2 linked regions of the Xenopus tropicalis genome follow. The protein of the gene in region 1 purifies or fractionates together with the protein of each later gene. This does not show direct contact. Links are inferred from orthologs where the notes say so. Each region holds a gene or a part of one and is shown in the gene's direction. Other genes may lie near its edges. The genes, in order: atp5f1c and vdac1.

The links.
Region 2: the proteins of atp5f1c (region 1) and vdac1 fractionate together in Homo sapiens (co-fractionation; 3 studies listed by BioGRID, with this or other methods). This does not show direct contact. The link is inferred for Xenopus tropicalis from reciprocal best matches to the Homo sapiens genes ATP5F1C and VDAC1.

Annotation. Positions count from the first base shown.
Region 1 is NC_030679.2:83,761,796-83,766,184, reverse strand, and holds the start of atp5f1c (ATP synthase subunit gamma, mitochondrial), read left to right. Parts: upstream 1-1,420; 5' UTR 1,421-1,492; coding exon 1,493-1,533; intron 1,534-3,952; coding exon 3,953-3,993; intron 3,994-4,386; coding exon 4,387-4,389.
Region 2 is NC_030679.2:22,875,812-22,880,066, forward strand, and holds the start of vdac1 (voltage-dependent anion-selective channel protein 1), read left to right. Parts: upstream 1-1,336; 5' UTR 1,337-1,355; intron 1,356-4,255. UniProt on the Homo sapiens protein: Non-selective voltage-gated ion channel that mediates the transport of anions and cations through the mitochondrion outer membrane and plasma membrane.

The DNA of each region.
Region 1 (4,389 bases):
CTTCAGGACCTGGAAGCCTTGCTGTGATAGATGGAACCATGAATTCTACTGTCTACCAAAAAATCCTGAAGGAGAATGTCCGGCCATCTGTTCGTCAACTCAAGCTGAAGCGATCTTGGGTGCTGCAGCAGGACAATGACCCAAAACACACCAGCAAATCCACCTCTGAATGGCTGAAGAAAAACAAAATGAAGACTTTGGAGTGGCCTAGTCAAAGTCCTGACCTGAATCCTATTGAGATGTTGTGGCATGACCTTAAAAAGGCGGTTCATGCTAGAAAACCCTCAAATAAAGCTGAATTACAACAATTCTGCAAAGATGAGTGGGCCAAAATTCCTCCAGAGCGCGGTAAAAGACTCGTTGCAAACACTTGATTGCAGTTATTGCTGCTAAGGGTGGCCCAACCAGTTATTAGGTTCCGGGGGCAATTACTTTTTCACACAGGGCCATGTAGGTTTGGATTTTTTTTCTCCCTAAATAATAAAAACCCTCATTTAAAAACTGCATTTTGTGTTTACTTGTGTTATCTTTGACTAATAGTTAAATGTGTTTGATGATCAGAAACATTTTGTGTGACAAACATGCAAAAGAATAAGAAATCAGGAAGGGGGCAAATAGTTTTTCACACCACTGTAGATGCTACCAAATAACCAATTAGAGACCATTATTGGCACCCCTTGGAAAATATGGCATGTCTGTGATGCTCTCCAACATTTTTTTTACATATGAACGTGGCTCGCCGGTAAAAAAAAGTTGTGGATCCCGAAGTTAGACTGTAAGCGTCATATGATAAACAAAGGCTAAAAAGAAACCAGTTCACAACCAGTGTAGTCCACAACGCATGATACTGATGTAAAATCCTCTTTGGGTTTACCCGAACAGGACTACGGTGGGTGCTGCTGTATTTAGCCCAAGTCTATACAAAATGCTTCAACTGATTTCAGAACTGCATATTATAAAGAAAACAGCAGCCATCTCTCCGCCCCCAACAGACTTGAATAGTTGAATTAATAACGCAACATTGTAGTAGTCTTGTAGCGTGCACGGCTGTACTATACATGCTGCGCCTCATAAACAACACTTCCTTATTGTTACTGCCGTCTCCCTTCTCCTCACCTCATCCCGACACTGTTTCTGACACATTTGACAGTACCATCGCAGTTTCTGGAGTCCTTTCGATTTGATACGATTTGCGATTGCCTTCGGAGTAAGGAAGTCTGCTTTCCCCATGGCCAAGCCTGCTCTCCGGCAGCTGAACCAGAAATCAGCCCCAGTCCCTCAAGCAACGCGAACTACGTCAGCAGTCCCTACGGCACTGAACCGCTCAGATAACTGGGGGAGGGACAATTCATTAAGAAGACCAATAACTTTTAAAGGGTTTGCCCTTACCTGATATGGCGCGGTATCGCGAGGTTTCCGGCCGCTGCGCGCTTTTCCAGCCCCGGTTCCGTGCATGCGCGTCCTGCGCTGACTGACCTTGCCTGCAGTCACCATGTTGTCTCGGAGCAGCGTCCTCATCTTGCAGTCACAATGGTGAGACTGGCTTTCCAAACTGTTTGTGTCCCTCAACACACGGGGGTGGCGGGGAACAAGTGACAGGGAGTCGGTGTGGGGAAGCCCGCAATCTATAGTGGCTGTTATATTCATTTCTCACCCTGCTAGGCCGCGGCCGGACCTTGCCTGTCAGGGCTATCATACAACTGGGAGTGAAGTACAAATGTGCAACATTTAGCGCTGTGCCCTAGCATCATCATTCATTGCATTTTAGCCGTAATTTAGTATTTGTGTGACTCCTGGAGTAGATTGTTCTGGGCTCTTGGGAAGGTCCCTGTCAATAACATGAAACAGGGTACTACACGGTAGTGTAGAAATGGGGATCTGGGGTTCGAATATGTCCCCCTGAAGGATGGTTAACATGTTGGATATAAAAGGCGGGAGGAGGTCAAACGAATAGCTGTCAATTTTTTACATGATTAAGTGACGCTTGTCAAGTTGTTCCCATATAATGGTGCTAAATAATGTTATGTGCTACATCACAAGCCGTCGCTTTATTACTTAGTAATATTAGTAATATTAGAGCGAAACTCTATTCAATAGTATCAGTGCCATATTAACCCCCCATGACCTTCACCTGTTGTTCAGCTACAACTCCCAGCCTCTGGCACAGTGCATAGAGCTGTCCAACATGCAGTCCTCTTGCTGTCAACACTTTTTAACAGAACAGATACTTTATTCTATGGACACATGTAAAATTTCTACTGTCAAGTGAGCATTCATTGCTATTTAAAGGATAGTAACGCTCTTACTAATAAGGAAGTTAACAAAAAATAACTAGTATTTTTGTTACAGAATATGTATATATTTATTGTATCCAACTTTATGGTTGTGTGAAAGTGCAGAGGTCACCTTGCCATGTCTTGTGAATATCTACTCAGTGTGTTCTCCTTTACAGAATTCTGCTTTAGTAACTTATTAGATTTAAGCAAATGGTTGAGATCCCACGAAATGTAAACTTAAAACAACCGGCATGGTTTTATAATAAGGCTATTAAGTTTTAAGCCCAAGCATTTTAGAAATAAACTAATAATTTTCAGAGGGACCTTGGTAATTCCTGCATGACATAACTTGATTCTATTCTTATGTTTCTCTAATGTAACCTAGACATTAGATTTATCTCATGCCGCAGACAGAATTTGGCAAATAATGGCAGAGAAAAGGTATTCAAAACTGACAGCCCCCCCAACCATGGGGATCAGGTGTAAGCCACTTGTGTGCAGACAGTTTGGTCTGCACTAGTTGGACATTCCCTGATACTTTTGCATCTTTAGGATCCACTATCACAAAGTGTTTTGTAAGAGAAGAACTTTTAAGTCACGTTGTTAAAGTATTTTTTTTTAGGGGAGTTAAAAGTTGGTGTGATTTTGGTACTGCCACCTCAAATAACCCAACTGACCTTCAAACTGGGCTTTTGTATATTTCTAAGCAAGTAGGTAGACGTTCTCAATAAAGCTTCCCTTAATTGGCCCTCTGGCTGAGTTTTCCCTGTCAGTGGTCCAGGCACCTGTTGGGGGGGGGTAGTCCCCCTAAGAAATCACTGGTTTAAAATGTTGCACCCAGCTCCTTTTTACTGTGAAAGAAGATATGGTGTAGTTAAAAATCTAATTACCAATTAATACACACTAATATTTTTATTGCCTTATAACGATAAAAAAAATATATGAATTCACCACATTAAAAGCTGGCCAGCTAGAAAATTAATTAAAAGCATAATATGATTGCTTATATGCATGAATGTCAATTACATTAAGAGAACAGCAGTTTCTTCTTAAAAAGCTCAATAAAAACAGCCCAAAAGTCCCATAGTTCCTGTAAAACTGCAAAATAAATTCATTACATGCATGTATACAGATTTGAAAAACTCTTCTGTATAAATATACAATAGATCAAAATTGTTGGGACCTGATAGTCTAAGGTCTTTCAGACCGATGATACAGTTAGCACTTATCCCACAAAGAGTGTCAGGACACTTTTGGGTAAAGGCATTATTTCTGTGGTGTCCCCCTCCACCCTTCTCAGCTTAATTTAATTTTTCCCTCCAAGTGATGGAATCCTCTCACCAATTTATTCACTGGGGCTCCTATACTGGCGCTAGGTCCGGATGACTCCTGCATCACTCTGCATCTGATGAGAGCCCTGCTCTGCATTCACTTCAACTCCTCTACTAAAATGAAAGATGGCGCTAAGCATTCCTTGGCGGGTGTTTTACTGTGGAATACAACCTTCAAAATAGTTTTCGCTGCTCTACCACTGATTACAAAATAGAAAAAGCTTTTGTAAAGATTGCTCTCTAGGCTCACAACCACCTTACCTCCCATAGCGGGTGGAATTACAGCCATGTGTCTTATCACTGACTGGTATCGCATTATTCAAAGTTTTTTCCTCCTTTTTGCAGGGGCCAGGGTCAGGTCAGGAACATGGCAACATTAAAGGACAGTAAGTATTGCTCACTGGTAATGTAAAAGAAATTCTCATCACTTATAAATGATTTTGTAATCATTTTAGGAAGTGCGCCATCCCAGGGAAAAATTAACATAGCACTGCTGTTTGACTTTCCTTTTTCAAAAGTTCATAGTGCTGAGAGTTGCGCATGAGCACTAAGAGTAAAGTCAAAAACTTACTTTGCTGCCCAAGCCAGGGACACCTGGAAATAAGGTAAGATGGCAGTGCAGTGTTGTAAGTTATTTTCCTTGGCTGATGCTCCTTTTTAGGAAAAAATTTCATTTGATTTAATTCCACCTTTTTCTTTTTTTCTTTAAATGTTTAATAAGAGTTGTTGTTATGCAAGCTATGGTGTATTTTATGGCTTTTATATCTTCCATGCAACAGTTA
Region 2 (4,255 bases), about 61 Mb from region 1:
CCTTCCTAAAATTCAGTGTCTTTGTTGCCCCCGTGTAAATTTGTTTCCTGCACCAAACATCAAATGAAATAACATTATGGTCACTATTACCCAGGGGTTCAACCACTTGCACATTTGCTATACGTTCTGGGCCATTAGAGATCACTAGATCTAGTATAGCATGGTTCCTGGTTGGCTCCTCAACAACCTGTGACATAAAGTTGTCATGCAGCAAGTTTATAAACTTGTTCCCATTTACTGTCCTGGCAGTACTATTGCCCCAGTCAATATCAGGGTATATATATTTGTTTAGAGTCTTATATTGTGTTACAGTATTGGAATTACACATTGTAATTTGTATGTAAACTAACAATGGCCATACCCAGGCTGATCTCCTAAGCTGTAACAGGCCTGTGTGCTAAATGGATGGAGAGCTACAAAGGGGCTCCACAAAAATAATGCCCCCCCTTATTATTGTTACAATAGTTCCTTCAGTGCCAGATGTGTGCAGTTACTACTCCACATGTAGCTGTAATATGTTTAATACATTTTGTTGTGTAAAATTCTGTTCACATATTAATGTGATTTGGTGACTGCCCTTGATAAAATCAGACATAATCTTTATTACGGGTGGGACGTAGCCAAGTCACCAGCACAGAAAAAAATAACATTTTATTGAACCGTCTTTTGACATAATTAATGCACAAAGCACATTGGCGGCCTGTCGTCCAAATATACAGACTAGCACTGGTATTCTTTCCAGTCGCCATTTATAGAACACAGGAGGTCAAGCAGCAGCTGTGAGGAAAAATCCAGCGTGCGGGGAGGGGGCTGCCGTGAACTAATAATACACACTGCACAATAACATGCCTTTCCCTACCAGTTCAAGGGACTACGAGGCTAACATCTATTTATGTACTGGGCAAGCACTAGAGTCACCTAGCCATTAGCAGGCACTAGTATCAGCCAGCCATTAGCAGGCACTAGTATCAGCCAGCCATTAGCAGGCACTAGTATCAGCCAGCCAATAGCAGGCACTAGTATCAGCCAGCCAATAGCAGGCACTAGTATCAGCCAGCCATTAGCAGGCACTAGTATCAGCCAGCCATTAGCAGGCACTAGAATCAGCCAGCCATTAGCAGGCACTAGTATCAGCCAGCCATTAGCAGGCACTAGTATCAGCCAGCCATTAGCAGGCAGCCCATTACTAGCCCTCATTCAGCGGTCAGGGCTGTGGGATCAGGTTCCAGGGGGCGTGGCGGTGACGTCAGCAGCGCCTTCCCTGAGCTTTCCGCGGTGCCCCGCCCCCTGCTCCCCTTGCACTGTCACTCAGCTCTCCAGCAGCAGCAGCAGCAGGCAGCCTCTCAGCTAGGAAGGTAAGGTGGAAACCCAGCTAAAAACCCACGTTTTAACCCGAAACCTGCCGTCATTCAAATAGTCCGTGATTGTAGATACTGATGTGTGCGACGATACACGTTGAGCAGAATGATATGCCTTTGTAAATAACCGCTAAGCGAGGAGGCCAAGAGCGAAGGGCGACCTTTGCGTAATATTGCACAGTGTACGGCAGCCCGCTGGCTGCTTCCGTGATGGCGACTTTAATTCATCCATCGTTAGCCCGTAGCGCGGTGCTGAGTGCGCAAATGCATCATGGGTAATACGCCCGGCCCTGGCTTACACCCCTTGTCCGTATGGATTAGCCACTAATTCTCTGTATACACCGAGCTGGGACCTCATAATGTGGAACAAAATTCATCCTACGCACCAATATATATCTACTACATTCATGTGACGTTGGTCTTTAATAATGGCACCCTTTATTATATCCTTATAATGTTCGTGTTCGATAATATATATATACATACACACACACATATATATATATATATACATACATATACATACACACACACATATATATATATATATATATATACATACATATATTTATCTATATTATATCTCCTTATAATGTTCATTGTACAGTTATAAATACTGTAACTGGTATTGTTGCATATATATATATATATATATCTACACACACATGTATGTGTGTATATAATATATATATATATATATATATAGTACATATATATATATATATATACAGTACGTACATGTCTGTGACAAACAGGACTGTCCCTCATTCTAACATTTAAATGGTTTCAGTCAGATGCATGTATAAGTGGGATAATATGTACAATACTCCCATATAGTAGATTTGGTAGCTTGTGCAAATGTCCAAAAAAAGATAAAATATCTGTGTATATAAGGAATTTCCCTAATAAAACATTAATGGCTGCCGCTAGGAATATACTGCTTACATGAATATTGTACTACACACACACACAGGCTTTTGAGCGGAAGGTGACCTTTATTGTGGAAGCCATCAGTGTATGTATCCTAATGCATGATTGCACCAGGCTCCATGAGAGCCGGCCCTAAGCATCATGAAAGAGATGGAGGTATTTTTAGTGGACAGTGCCGCTTTTTTTTTTTTTCCTCCCCCAATTGGTGGGAACATCAGTCTTACACATACACGTCAATGTAACAAGAAACCATTATAATATAAGGTGTACATTACAGCAATGTGCGGATATTCAGTCATTGGGACTGAAACTTACATTTAGGGGCTTATTTACTAAATTCCACAGGCACAGTCGTCAATAGCATTAGCAAGCAATCAATAAGCTAGCTAGAAAATGAAAGCAAATATCTGATTTGTTGCTATGGGTAACTGTATTGGTGGAAATTAGCACCTGTGTAAGTAAATCAGCTTGGTAAAGTCTAGCTCAAGGAACTTATATTATGCTCAGTAAATTATACATGTATAGGACCCATTATCCAGAATGCTTGGGACCAAGGGTGTTCCAAATTATGGAAAAACCTCTTATCCAGATCTTCATACCTCAACTCTAGGAAAAAATCACTTAAACATTAATTAAACCCAATTTGATTGTTTTGCCTCCAATAAGGATTAATTGTATTTTATTTGGGATCAAGTACAAGGTACTGTTTTATTATTACAGAGAAAAAGGAAATCAATTTTAAAAATCTAAATTATATGATTAAAATGGAGTCTATGGGCATAATTCGGAGATTTCTGGATAACTGGTTTCCGGTTAATGGATCCCATACCTGTAGTATGTAATATAGTATACAATTATACTGGCTTATTTTAGCTGTACAAGTATAGGATCCCTAATTCATAAACATGTTACCTAGAAAACTGAATTATGGGAAGGCAATCTCAGCTTTAATAGAGTCCATATTAAGCAAATAATTCAAATTTTTAAAAGTGATTTCTTTTTTCTCTGCAATAATAAATCAGAACCTTGTACTTGATGGCAACTAAGCTGCATGAATCCATATTGGTAGTAAAACAATCCTGTTGGGTTTATTTGTTTGTTTAATATTTAAATGATTTTTAGTGGACTTAAAGTGTGGGGACCCAAACTATAGAAAGATCCCTTATCTGGAAAAACCCCAAGAATTTTGAATAATAGATCCTGTATCTGTATTAATTAATTGCATGAGTGCTGATGCTCTGCCCAGGTAACTCACTGCAGCAATGTAAGGCTTACTTGCCTATACAAAGTACCAATGCCTGGCATTATTATCTTCTACTTACCAGGAAAAGCCAAGCACACCTTTTATTATTGAAAATCAAAGTGAGTAACTATATATAAATCACTATTAATATAGGCAACCTTTAATCATTCTGCTGAAGGTCAAAAGGGCCATTCCTGGCTGTCCAATATACCGATAATCCTTTTGTGGATTTTCAGAAAGGTGGATGATGTCCATTACATAATTAAGATTTTGCTCCAGCCAATTGTAATTTATGTGTATAAACCCCATAAAGGCAAAAGGCATGGGTTTTGGCTTTTTGGGGTTTTTTTTTAGACTAGTTTTGTTGCTGAGCTGAGTTGTGCCTCTAAAATAAGGTGTCATCTGACTCTGGCTTTGAAGGACACTCCTCATTTGGCACCGTCCATCATTCCAAAGAAATGTCATTGCTGTGAATGTCTCCACGTGCTCATTTGTGCAGAAATGTTTTATATGGCTGAAAATATCAGTTTCTGATAAAAGTACATTTGTGAACTTTTACTGGACAGGGTTTTAAGGTTTTTTTTAAACAGAAGAGTGAGATGTGCTGTATTGTTTATATCTCTAAGAGCTGAAATGAAAAAGAATAAAACACTGCATTGGGTATTGACCAGCGCTGTGTTACAGTGTTTTATGATATTGCAGTGCCTAGGGGATAGATCAGGAG